Linked DNA regions of Drosophila melanogaster. The protein of the gene in region 3 interacts with the protein of the main gene of each other region in a pairwise test. Each region holds a gene or a part of one and is shown on either strand. Other genes may lie near its edges.

What was found. The genes of interacting proteins can lie anywhere in the genome.
Region 1: the proteins of CG16719 (region 3) and CG6688 interact in a two-hybrid assay, tested with the Drosophila melanogaster proteins (one large-scale study listed by BioGRID).
Region 2: the proteins of CG16719 (region 3) and CG9166 interact in a two-hybrid assay, tested with the Drosophila melanogaster proteins (one large-scale study listed by BioGRID).

Annotation. Positions count from the first base shown.
Region 1 is NT_033777.3:23,010,634-23,016,040, reverse strand, and holds CG6688 (uncharacterized protein), read right to left. Parts: upstream 3,630-5,407; 5' UTR 3,528-3,629; coding exon 3,369-3,527; intron 3,300-3,368; coding exon 3,231-3,299; intron 2,126-3,230; coding exon 2,003-2,125; intron 1,891-2,002; coding exon 967-1,890; 3' UTR 566-966; downstream 1-565.
Region 2 is NT_037436.4:1,349,610-1,353,418, reverse strand, and holds CG9166 (uncharacterized protein), read right to left. Parts: upstream 2,304-3,809; 5' UTR 2,234-2,303; coding exon 1,948-2,233; intron 1,891-1,947; coding exon 1,630-1,890; intron 1,567-1,629; coding exon 1,388-1,566; 3' UTR 566-1,387; downstream 1-565. Other genes in the region: Ptp61F (protein tyrosine phosphatase 61F), read left to right, coding at 2,943-3,047.
Region 3 is NT_037436.4:9,683,335-9,686,780, reverse strand, and holds CG16719 (uncharacterized protein), read right to left. Parts: upstream 1,611-3,446; 5' UTR 1,527-1,610; coding exon 711-1,526; 3' UTR 531-710; downstream 1-530. Other genes in the region: Prps (phosphoribosyl pyrophosphate synthetase), read left to right, coding at 318-416, 1,736-1,860, 1,926-2,259, 2,323-2,415.

The DNA of each region.
Region 1 (5,407 bases), on a different chromosome or scaffold from region 3:
CTTGGACTTGGTCGGCGCCCTGGCTTTTGTTCGGCACATCAACAAAGCAGAAAATAAAATTCAATTAACGCGCTTAAATTAAACTGCCACTTCCTGTTTTGATGACATTTTCATGGCAGCCTCGCTCCGGCGAAGAAGCAGCGGGAGGCCATTCTGCAGCGATAGGAAGAATGCGGTTTGGAGTAACTGAAGCCTGTTGCTGGCGTTGCTCGCTCCTCCATTGATGCGGTTCGTCCGGCATCAATATTAAATGGTAAACGGCCGGCATAATGGCTGTCCAACTGCGGCTGTCATTATGGGGCCATCAGGAACCACCAGGACCAAGAAACCAGGGACTGGACAGGTTCCATGCCTGCTCCCGATGACAAATAAAGCTCATTACGCGCTTGTCCGGCATCCTTCACTTTGCCACTGATTGACCTGCATCTGCGCGTGGCGTCGCCGTCAGCAGTCATAAGTTGCACTGCACTGCGAGAAATGTTTGTACTTTGTGCCCTTGAGTATGCAGTGGGAAAAGGATTTTAGAATGAACAAGTACTCAAATAATGTTGCATATTCTATTGATCATTTGCACAAAGTCCAATTGACTTAAAATATTTTTATTCCTCTTGCGACGCTCCCTGAATGCAGTCCATCCGGACTTCATTATCGAGCTGACCAACTCGGACGCCAAATGACACAAAGTCATTGGAGCGTTCAGGAGTGATTCAATTAGAACTCAACTTGGCCAAGTTGAACTCTTCGCTGCAGTTAGCTGGACCAACTTCTTTGCATCTCCAGCGTGGGCCTTTGTCCCGGCCTGACACCCATACAATTCCTTTGGCCGGGTTCGTTTCTTTGCGCGATAAGCAACTTTGGCCAAGCAACTGGCATTTAATTTAATTAGAAAGGAAAACAGCAAGAGGGGCGGGGGGCGAATTGGGGACGCGCCTGATAAGAGGATGCTGTTGATTGAGATGCCCGAGCTCAAAGCAGACGGAAAGCGGATTTGTAGCAGCAGTTCTGGTGGAGGTCCTTTGCAGGATCCTGTGGATCCTGCAGCTTGCAGGGACAGCGGTACAACAGCGAGGCCGGCTTAGTTTGGACAACCTGCTGGGGCAAATCTTGGCTTGGAGTGACAGGAGGTATGCGAACGGGTTGCAATCCGGAAGATTCATTGATGCCCGGGCTAACGGAGGCTGGTAGCGGAGGGCCATGCAAGGATGTGGCAGAGATGTGGCTGCTGTTCGTTCCGGATTCCTCGTCAACGCCCTCGGCATTCGGCTTAACTCCTTCCTGCTGTAAATCATTCGTCGAGAGTGAAGGATGCGCCGCATTCGCGTCAAGCGTGGCATGCATTGTTGTCCTTTCGGGGGGCGTGGCTGTCACTGGCGATGTTCTGGCCGGGATTTCACTGGAGTCGCCAGCGACGTCCGTGGTATTAGTCCGCAGCAGAGTAGCGGCATTCGAGGGACTGAGGTTATCCGTCGAGTAGGCGCAGCCCTCAAGCAACTTGGTTAGGAACTTGTTCGTTGGCAGCACTGGCCTGCGCTTTCGCCAGGTGTCCTGTCCGGTTATCCTGTCCTGTCGGCCCACGACTGGCCGTGTTATCCCGGCAAAGAGCTTCTGCCGCAGCTTGTTCTCCGAGCGGCACATCTCGAAGGCGTTGGCAATGGTCAGGAAAATTTGCTCCGCCAACAGCGCTCGGCGGGGAGTGTAGAAGTCCCGGCAGACAGGACATCGCTCCGAGCGGATGCGACAGTCCACGCAGAGCAGGTGTCCGTTTTGGCACTGCATCGCCGGCGGTGAGATGGTCACCCCGCAGACAGGACACTCGACGAGGCGCAGGATGCTCTCCAGGACGAGGGACAGGCGGCGCAAACTGGTGGGCATGGGGGCGCAGCAGATGCTCTATGGATTTTTGAAAAAAATATTGTGTTAGCGCGATTTTAATGGGGAACGGATAACTGAGTGTGTTTGATGGTTTAAAGAAGGATTTCAGGACTGCAATGAAAATACTCACATTAGTATCACAGTCCTTATCACATTCACTGTTCCAACAGAGAATTGTGACGCAGTCCTTTTGACTCTTCACCATTTTGGCGATTTCAGACACTCTCAAGCCTAAAACATCGTTGCCATTTACCTGGAAATAAAATATTATAGAATTTTATAGAAAATGTCTGGAAATGTTGTTTATTTATTTTAGGAAATAAGTGCCATACAGAAAGCAAGTACCAAGTATCTAAATATTTGGATTTCCACGAGCTACCAAAGAAAACAAATGAATACCACAAAATATGGCCAACACAATTACAAATTCGAAAGCACTGCTTGCGGCTGTATCGCACGCACTGCTTGCGGATGTTAACCTTAGCTAGCACTGTTAACTCAATTGGCTGTTATCTGTTATCTGATAACTGATATTTGCTTTGAATATTTACTTCGTGCTAATTAATCTTTGTCATCAACTAGTTGTTTTACTACGTTCGAGTTGTGTCATTAGTTTTAGGGCGGGCTGTGCATTCACCAGCTGTTTCTAGTTCCCCACTCCACATCCAATAAAGTTTCTAAATAAAGTCGATGCCGAGCAATTAAGTTTTACTGCATTGCTATTTTAAGTAAACAATATCCACGAAGAACAACAAATGCGGCTACAATAGCGGCTGCAAAGTCCAGACTTGGATATATGTACGGTCCAACTTCCATAGCTCAAGCTATTCGTAATTTAAAAGACCATAGCGATTTGAATTTGTTTCTAGAAGTGCAAATCATCATATTGGAATGCTTTCCTGAATAGTACTTTTTATCTTAACTTACGATTCACACAAATTTGTAGAACTTATTGACTTGAAAACTCGCAAGTATACATAATTAGCTTTACAACAAAAACTACATTATTTTTCTAGCTGTTAGCTAACAAAAGGAACTTTTTTCTGATTATAAATATATTATAATTTTAATGGGTTCCTCAAACTCTGTTTTCTTCTATCCTAAGTGGAATGCACATAGTTGGGAACCTGAGTAGCAGTCTCAATAAGCTCTTAATAGGTTTACAAAGTAAATCCCCGCGTCGATCTATTGCATTCTTAATTTTGTAACTGGAGTTCAGGCGCAGATTGAGTTACCAATGCAGTTTAGTTACCAATGCAGTTGGTCTGCGCTGTGCATAATCCGCCAGTCCATTGCTGGCTGAGAGCTGAAAGAACTGACAACGGTGGCACCAACCTGTGGCACTAACTTCTACTCACCTCCAGAACGCAATCGCCGGGTTTCAGGCCGCAGAGAGCGGCAGGTGTGCCGGCTGCCACTTCGCAAACCTGTCGGTGTAATGGGTATATGGTAATTAGGAGGGGACGGGATCTCCAAACGATGGCCACTTTTATTACCCAGGGATAGGGATCCCATTTGCTGCGGGTCAGCTGAAATCCGTAGTTCTCCATCGCAGGTGCGGCTCTGGGAATTCTCAGTAGTCGCACGGAGGAGCCATCGCCATGCTGCCCATCTTCATTGGATGTGGAATGAAATCCTCCCGCTGATTTCCTCATTTTCGGGCTAGAAAACTCGCACAGGTGCTCGGATCGTTGTGGGCCAAAATAAAAAGCGGCTAGCGAGAGACGTGTTCAACGTGCGCTCTCAGTTGGCAAACTGTTTTTCGTCTGTCTGTTGATTTTTTTTCGAGCCAGCTGGCTGGCTGGTGTATGTGGCTGGCTGGCTGGCTGGCTGGCTGAAAAGTTGCCGAGCGGCGAGCAGTGAACATGGAGCGCTTTGGGCCGACGCAATCGGCTACGACAAACATTTTGGCCAAGCTCCCCAGCATCACACATTTAACCCCTTCCACAACTTAATGACTTTGGGCCATCTGACGCGGTGTTGTAAGTGCTCGGCGCCAAAATGTGGCTGCGGTTCAAGATCCGAGATTCGGAATTCGAGATCGGAGATCTGAGATCTGAGTTCCGAGATCCAAAGCTGACACCCAGCTGAGATCATGGAAATGAGACTTGTGGAGCTAAGTAAATATTTGAACTTTCGGGCTGGCAGCGGTTTTTGGGTGCGCTATAAAGTTGCATGTCTACGTATTGTGACACCTTCAAATATACCGAATAAATAAACAAATTCTTCAGCGATTAAGTCATTTGATAACCTGGTAAATTAGTTGGTTCGAATGTGCAGGCTGCTACAATTGTGCGGAAGTGAAATCGAGAACATGGCCAAATACAATAGTTTTCATAGAAACCTTCGGCTATTTCTCTTCGCTTTTCATGGAAACCTTCTGCTATTTCTCTTAAATTGAAAACAATAAAGCTGCGCTTATCACTTATACCATGTTTTGTTACTAGAGATTAAAACTATTAAGGTAAATATAGCAAAACAGCCCAAACAAATATAAATAGCCAAAATAAACTGAACAAGACCTGCAAATTAAGTGTTAAATTGTATATTTATACAGTTTGGTTACGGTTTTGGCACAAATCGTAATCAGATAAAATCGCTATTAGCAGTAATGCACACGAAACTTAATCAGTTTAATTCCCATTTGTTGACTTTAAAAGTTTTCCGACTTTGTAATTAAATTTGAAAATAAACAGCACTATTTTTCGGCTTAATTGCGTGTTGGCAGTGTCAAATGGCCAGTGCATTTGCGATTGAGTGGCCAGCAAGTAAACCAAAATATTATTATTCGAAATGCCAAAAGAAATTAAAACAACAACGACGAGTGTGTTGGCACCGCACTAGGGTGTCAAACGGCGATAAACATAAACAATGGGGCCCTAAATAAATAATTGGGTCTAAAACCGGCTCGTCGATTAACCCTAACAATGATAACTGATGGAAATTGGCAGCTGACAAATGGATTTGGTTTGGCATGGCCAAACCATCGACATCCATTTGACTTTCGCTTTTTTGTTGTTTTGTTATCGCCGGTTTAACTGCCATTGAGGCGGTAATTTGAGTTTGGCGCTGCTCTGGTCGTCTAAAACATTGGCCAAATAGCATTGAAATTGGTAATTTCATTTAAATTTGCGCCCAGCAAAACTGACCCTGGGCGGCATTGTGGTGCGTGGTGTGTGTGTGTGTAATTTGTTTTTGGCTTTTCAATTTGCCAGTTCAATTAGATTTGGCCAAATTTATGTGGCACGCAGAAGCGTTCGGCAGCCAAAAGCCGTCAGCAGTGTCAAAATTAGAGAATACTTACCCAGGCAATAACATCGAAATTCATGTTTCTCGGAAAGCCATCCACCTGAAAGGTAATTGACTTTTATTAATCGGCCAGCAATTAGGCCGGGCCCAAAGGCAAATGGCCAAATTCAAGTGCAATTCCGCCTCTTCACACTATTGGCTCTCGACTTGTTTGTGGCCAGTAGATGCGGTTTCCAAAAAACAAAATAAAACGATGAAAAGCTCGCTGAAGCCAAGTGCAAAGCTC
Region 2 (3,809 bases), 8.3 Mb from region 3:
GATTATGGGCTGATTATGGACGCGCCAAATCCCCCAGCGGAAAGTTCCTCCCATATCACATCACATGGCCAAGTGGAAAAGTGAAACGAGCGGCCGTAGCCCAATCCTCCTCACTCCACTCGCTGCTCCATCATTGCTGATTGACGTCGACAAATTGTATTAAAGCCGTTAATTGGCATTTCAAGATTTTCAGCAATTTCATAAAATTTAACGCCTATCATGTGTCGGCCAATTGGCGTCCGTCTGGCTCTTTGGCTCATTGGATTATCGCACCGTTCGCCGGACTGGCCATTGTTTGTTTTCATAAACACCATCGATAACTTATTTTCGAAAACGTATTTTAAAAATATTAAGTTCGAATTCTCCTCGTGACGCAACTGGCGCTGATGGCCTGCGAAGAAATGATTTCCAAATGCCAGGAGGATCTCCTTCTTGGACCCTAGTTCCCTGATTTTCCAATTTCATTCAGCATTCCGCTGGCCGGTGCAAATCCACAAATCAATGTGCTGAAAACAGCCTTGTTCACACCTCGCCCGATGACTATAAAAACACAATGAACATCGTTGAGTGGGCGTATTTATATTTTGAGCAAACAGTCGTTAAAAAACGCCGCAGGATATATTCGAGCCATTGAGATTTGAGTTTAATGGCTTTCTCTGAATGAATGGGAAATTCGATTGTGAAGTATAAAATCATTGGAATGCTTTCTGGTTCATAATATATTATTTTGCGTTTTTATTACAATTTGTTATCTATCAAACTGTACGGCTTCTTAAAGTTATTAAAACCCTAAATTACAGGATTAACTGTCTATTGTTGCATCTTCCAGTTGAATGGAGAAAATGTTCCGACGCGTTGCTACAACCAGATATACCGACAATATTCGATAAAGACAAATTAAAATACATCACATATCAAATATATAACAATTTGATTGTGACATTTCATAGATATAAGGGAATCTGCCTTTATTCTCTGAAAAGAAGAGTTATTTTCATTTTTTGCAGTATACTTTAGTGCGCACTTGTTATTATCAGATTTTCAGAAATAGGTGGCGCTAGCGTCGCTTGGCCATCTACAAAAGAATTTAGCTCCTGTTTGGAAATACTGCTGTCATATTCTGACGGATTATGGCTATTATTGCCCTATTAGAGCTCGATGTTAATAAAAATTACAGTTATTTTAAAGATGGCTGCCTGAGCGAATGCACCCAGTAAGAAACTAGAGATGGGCGATCGCATAGTTATTTTGGCCGTGACACGAGAATAACAAGTCTGACACGAAATATTTATTCATACCTTATTGTTTTTCCAAATCACACTGCAAGTGATCTCGCACGTACGCAGCTCTAAAGAGTTTTTTTTTATTAATAGTGAAATGTATTATTTTACGTCTTTAGTTTCGATTTGTCTACGAAAGAAAGGGGTGTTTGAGCCATGAAAATATCGCCATAGGGATTGGTGGGTTTTTGGCTTTCGCGGTCGAATTCGGAGCCAATGGCCCACAGCGACTCCAGATCGTATTCCTCGCGAGCACTCGGTGAAAATATGTGCAGGGCAATGTTGCCTAAAAGGAAACGGAACGTGTTAGAGCGGAGAAACCGGAATATGCATTTATTTCAATACCCACCCAAGTCCATGGCCATCCAATCCCGGCTCTTATCGCCCTCGATGCGCGGCAATATGTCACCCTTGCCCCGCTTGATCTTGAACATTCGGCGCACGAACTCCGCGGTGGACAGCATGTGTCGGTAACTGCGACCACTGCAAACCACCAGGTGGTCAACGTACTTCAGGTTCTCCGGCACGTAGCAGACGAATATGTCGTCCACATTCTCCTTGCGGAGCAGCTCCACCAAGTCCTCAACGTCGAACACTCCGCGAACACCTCCTGCAAAGGGAAACAAAGGCTTAAATTTCTGCTCTCCCTGGACGATTGCCAACCTACGCTTTAAATTGAGGCCGTAATAGTGATCCAGCTCCAGGTCCGGCTCTGGAAGTTGCTGCTCCTGGTGGCGTGCCTCTTCCACATCAAAAATCTCCGTGGCTTCCTCATCGCGGAATATTTTGTACTTGTCTTGCACGCCGGCAACCAAAGTCTTTTCGGGATTGCCTTCGATTTCCTGGCCCTTCGCTGCCTGTTGTGGCGGCTTGGAGAACTCGTGGTGGAAGCAACGCAGGACAGGCACACTCAGGCGCCTGTCGTGCACTAGGCGGAACACGCGGGTCAGCATTTTGCTTTGGCTTCTTTCTGTTGTTATTAATAAATTGGGTAACAGTTGTTGATTCGATACTTTTGGTATTACTCGATAACACTGGTCAACGATGAGCGATTGTAATATCGGTATTTTAAAGTATTTGAACCCAATTTTCTTATCAGAATTTTTCTATTTTACTTTTAAAATATTTTATTTTATTTTTTTTATTTTATTTTTATTTAAAATATTTTATTTCAATTGTTTTTATATTGTTATGTCTTTAGTTAAGTATTTAATTTTATATAAATTATAGAAAACTTATCCCGAATGTTATATTATGTTTCAGTAAAGTTCTAATTTCTGCGCAAGCACTTTAGTTTCAGTATGTGTTCTATTGCTCTACAGCGCCTGGTCACATTATTTGATGGTGAAAATATCGATAGACGTAACTAATATTTCAGAATAATAATGTCGCAGATACAATATATTGTGTTTGGCTTGCATTTGTAAATAGGAATCACCATAAGAGAATATAATATGTAATGCGATCAATATAGTGATGTACAATCGAACTATCACTCGGTATCGCACTGCAAATACCGATAGTATTTCGCAAGCTCAAATATTCGATACATCGACACTGTCGTGAGTTGTCCAGCTCTAGTTCTCCTCTGAAATTAACCAGCCGCCTGATAACCAAATTAAAAGTTATTAAATCGGAACAAATCGCAGCAAAGTGTGCACAATGAGCGAGCAGAAAACGAGTGGGAGTGGGTCGGCGGCCGCTGCCCGTCTGCAAATCGAGGCGGAGTACAAGGACAAGGGGCCGCAATGGCATCGCTTCTACAAGGTAATTGGCAACAACAACTGCGACTGCACTGAAAACTGGTTACAAACTGGACGAATGATTGTGGCACAGTTCGATTCGCCAAGGATTCGCAACGGATGCGGAGTATACACCTTTCCACAGCTCCTTGGCGCTCCGATTTCCACGAAAATGTGATGAGTGCGCAAAAGGCTTCTGCAGATGCCTCCACCACCAACACCAGTGCAGCGGCGAGCTTTACGTGTGTGCGTGTGTATTGTGTGTCAGTGCTGTTGTTGTTGCAGTTGTTGCTTTAACAGCCAGGCTTTGGCCAAAAACAAAAACCCATGGAAAAGAATGTACAAACAGAATAGCACCAACACACATACACGCACACCTGCTGCACTTTACTTTGCATTCTCCATCGAACGCGTGTGTGTGTGAGTTCGTGCGTGTGTATTGGCCTGTATTTGGCATATTTATGCTTGTTATTCTGCCATACCTTTCCCCAAAAACGCTTTCCTTTGACTATCAATAGAGCGCTTGAGCTATTCCGCGAATTCTCGTTTGGCCAAATCAAATTGGAGGCGATTTCTGGGAAGCTCGTTGTGTTTGTGATTGCCGTCCCCCAAAAACAAAATACAATTCGTGGAGGGGTGACAGTGCTCTCCACTGAAGAACTCCTCTAACGCGCGCACACACACACACACCCGCTCGCGTTGAGCAGGAGAGAGAGGCTCACGCACACAGGGGCACAAAGGGCATGCGTCTGGTTTTTTGAGTCTCGCTTTGGGCTGCTTCTGGTTG
Region 3 (3,446 bases):
TCTGAAAATCATTATTTCCCAGGTTCTGCTGCACCGAATCACATTTGTGTCCTTTGTGTTGTCGCAACTGAATTCTCTATTCTGTCCATGAATTATGTATCTTCTTCATATGCAATCTATTGGAACGTTAACCTCTCTTTGTTGATTTCTGTCTCTATACATATGTGTTGTTCGGTCCATGTTCGGTTTTGATTTCCATGATTTACTACTACTACTACCTCCTCATAAATGCCTAGCCTTAAGATATAAACTTGACTACTAGTTGCGCTAATGGAAACCTCTCCTTTGCATCTCTTTCTACGCTGGCCAATGCACAGAGTCGTGCGCCCATCTCGGCCAAATTGGTGGCCAACATGCTGTCCGTTGCTGGAGCGGATCACATCATCACCATGGATCTGCACGCCTCACAGATTCAGGTAAGTCAGCCCATCAACAACATTTGTATATTTATCTTTGATATTAGAGTGATTTCTTATCGTGCCGCGATTTGTATATCAGTCAATTAATTACGATAAAGAAAGTGTGATTTTCCTTTTGAACGACGTAACAATTTTTGTTTATTAAAGTGAGGCCAAAGAAATACTTATTTAAGGGTTTAAAATAAATTACAAAATATACAGTACAAATATATCCAATAACATCAGGTTTGAATCAAAAGAGGAGCTATAATCTCGCCGGATCCTCGGAGAACCGACAAATCCATCCGTTGGCTAAAAGGTGCCGAATTCATAGCAGGGTTCGGCGGCGTTGTCAGACCGGGATTGAAGCTCTGTGTCGTCATCGGTCCCGTTGAGGGTGTGTGGCATGGATAGAATGCTCACGGATAGTTTGGCCATTTGATGGAGTAGCACATCAATACGTTCATTCTTGAGGGCAATTGTGTTCTCCAGGTGATTGGCCCTCTCGGCAATGGAATTGATGTAGCGTGACTTCTCGGCACTCTCCCTAATAGCATTGGCATAGTGTTCGTACTCGACCACTTTCTTGGATACCTTCTTCATCTGTCCATTGACCACAACATTCACGTCCATGGTCAGCACCTGGGGTTGACTATCGATCGAGCAGGAGCGCTCAATCACTTGGGTGAGGGATCGGTTGAGAGTGCGTACCACAGAATTCTTGTTAGCCAACTTTTTAATCACCACGCTCTTTTGGGAGCTCGTTGGCGATACACTCAGACGGGGTCTTGGTCTGGGACTAGCGCACTTGGTCACCGCGATTAGTTCATGGAACAGTGATTCTATGGCTCCTGGCGCTGCTGACGCCAGCTGCTCCAGCTCCGAACGTGTCAAATTGATGCCCAATTTCTTCAGTACCTTCTGATTGAAGGTCTGCCAGCTCTGGAGTTTCAGGGCCACGCTGCTCTTGGGCGTATAGTTGTGCAGATCCACCAGACGAGGATGACTGCGCTTGACAATCTTTGCCACCGGCAAGACATCGGAGAATGAACGACGAGCTTTCAGATCCAGGATAATGCGCTGCTCCTTTAGCCACTGGTTCAGGTCATTCTGCTGTTCGTTCTCCATACTTAGCAAGGGGTGATTTGGGGTTTTCGGATTTTACCTGCTTTTTAATTTCTGTTGTAAATTTATTTTGGCAAGTCTAGCTTCCATATATGTTTCAGACAATAATGCTTGATAGACATACTCTCTGCCAATGACTGGCAGCTGTGTCAACTGGCAATGACTACTGGATGGCTAAATTAAAACTCATTCGATAAATTCTCCATTCGCAGGGCTTCTTTGATATACCAGTTGATAATCTCTATGCCGAGCCGGCGGTACTCAAGTGGATCAAGGAGAACATTCCCGAGTGGAAGAACTCGATCATTGTGTCGCCCGATGCTGGCGGTGCCAAGCGGTTAGTTGCAGTCTTTAATCCATATGCGTAATAGATTAATAATGCTATTAATATTTCACTTTAAGTGTCACCTCAATTGCCGATCGACTGAACGTGGAGTTCGCTCTGATACACAAGGAGCGCAAGAAGGCCAACGAAGTGGCCTCTATGGTACTGGTGGGTGATGTCAAGGACAAGATTGCCATTCTGGTCGATGACATGGCCGACACATGCGGCACCATTGTGCATGCCGCCGATCGCCTGGTGGAGGCGGGAGCCACCAAGGTGTATGCTATTCTGACGCATGGCATTTTCTCGGGTCCGGCGATCTCGCGGATCAATAATGCCTGTTTCGAGGCGGTAGTGGTGACCAATACCATACCGCAGGATGGACACATGCGGGACTGTCCCAAAATCCAGGTGGGTTATATCATATATATGCTTCTTTAGATGTGAATATAATTTTTATTTTTTTTTTCTCAGTGCATTGATGTCTCGATGATGTTCGCCGAGGCCGTCAGAAGGACACACAACGGCGAGAGTGTCTCGTATCTCTTCTCAAATGTTCCATACTAAACAACAAACAATCGGCAGAAAAACCAGCAAACGTTTGATAAAACAGCAACCAGAACACCGTTAGCAAGCCACAGCAAAATGAAAAGAGAAAAAAACCCACTTTAATAGCAATTTGTAATGCAATTTTCAACACAAACACAACAATTCGAAACCACATATTTTGCCATCATCATCGTTATATATTTTTTATGGATTAACTATTGTAATTAAAGTAAATGCAAACTCAGTAGATGGGAAATCGTCATTGTGTAATTATACTAAATAGGAGCATAAAAAATAACACTAAATACCGCAAAAAACAATACAAAAGTACACAAATGCAATGCCTTTCCTTTTGTATAGTAAGTTCTTTGTTTAAACAAACTTTTTGCCGTTTTCTGATTTTACAAGTTAACACGAACGATAAATTCCCAGTTGATTGGTGTAAACATTGGCCTGCTCTTAGAGAGAAATTTAGATTTGTAGATTAACACCGTAGAAGATATACACTCAAAACACACACACTCACACAAACACACCCACATGTACACCCACACACACAACAACAAAAAATTGTAATTTTACACTGTGCAACAACTTTTTGATGATTCTTTATTGTAAGCTCATAAAGAAAAAAAAAACGCAAAATACTTGCAAGTTCAAAACAAAATCTAGTAAAATTAAGTAAAACAAAAAAATACAATTGAAAAGAACATAGCAAATAGGCGTTAAAAAATAATAAACAACCAAACAAACAACAAAAATAAAACTAAAGAAAAAAATACAAAAAAAAATATTACAGAAAACTAATGCAAGAATGTGTTTTTACTGGATTTGTGGAAGGATTAGATATTGTCCTATAAAAAGGGAATATTTTCTTTTTCGTACTCGAATATAATTGTTATAGGATCTTTAGTTTACTTTTACTTTAAATGCTTAAACCAACTTTAATTAACTGAAATCCTGGTCTTATAAACCATATCCTCATCCCTTGTCCAAAGAAACTCATAATGATTCAAACTCTTGGTTAATTTATTTACACATAATTATTG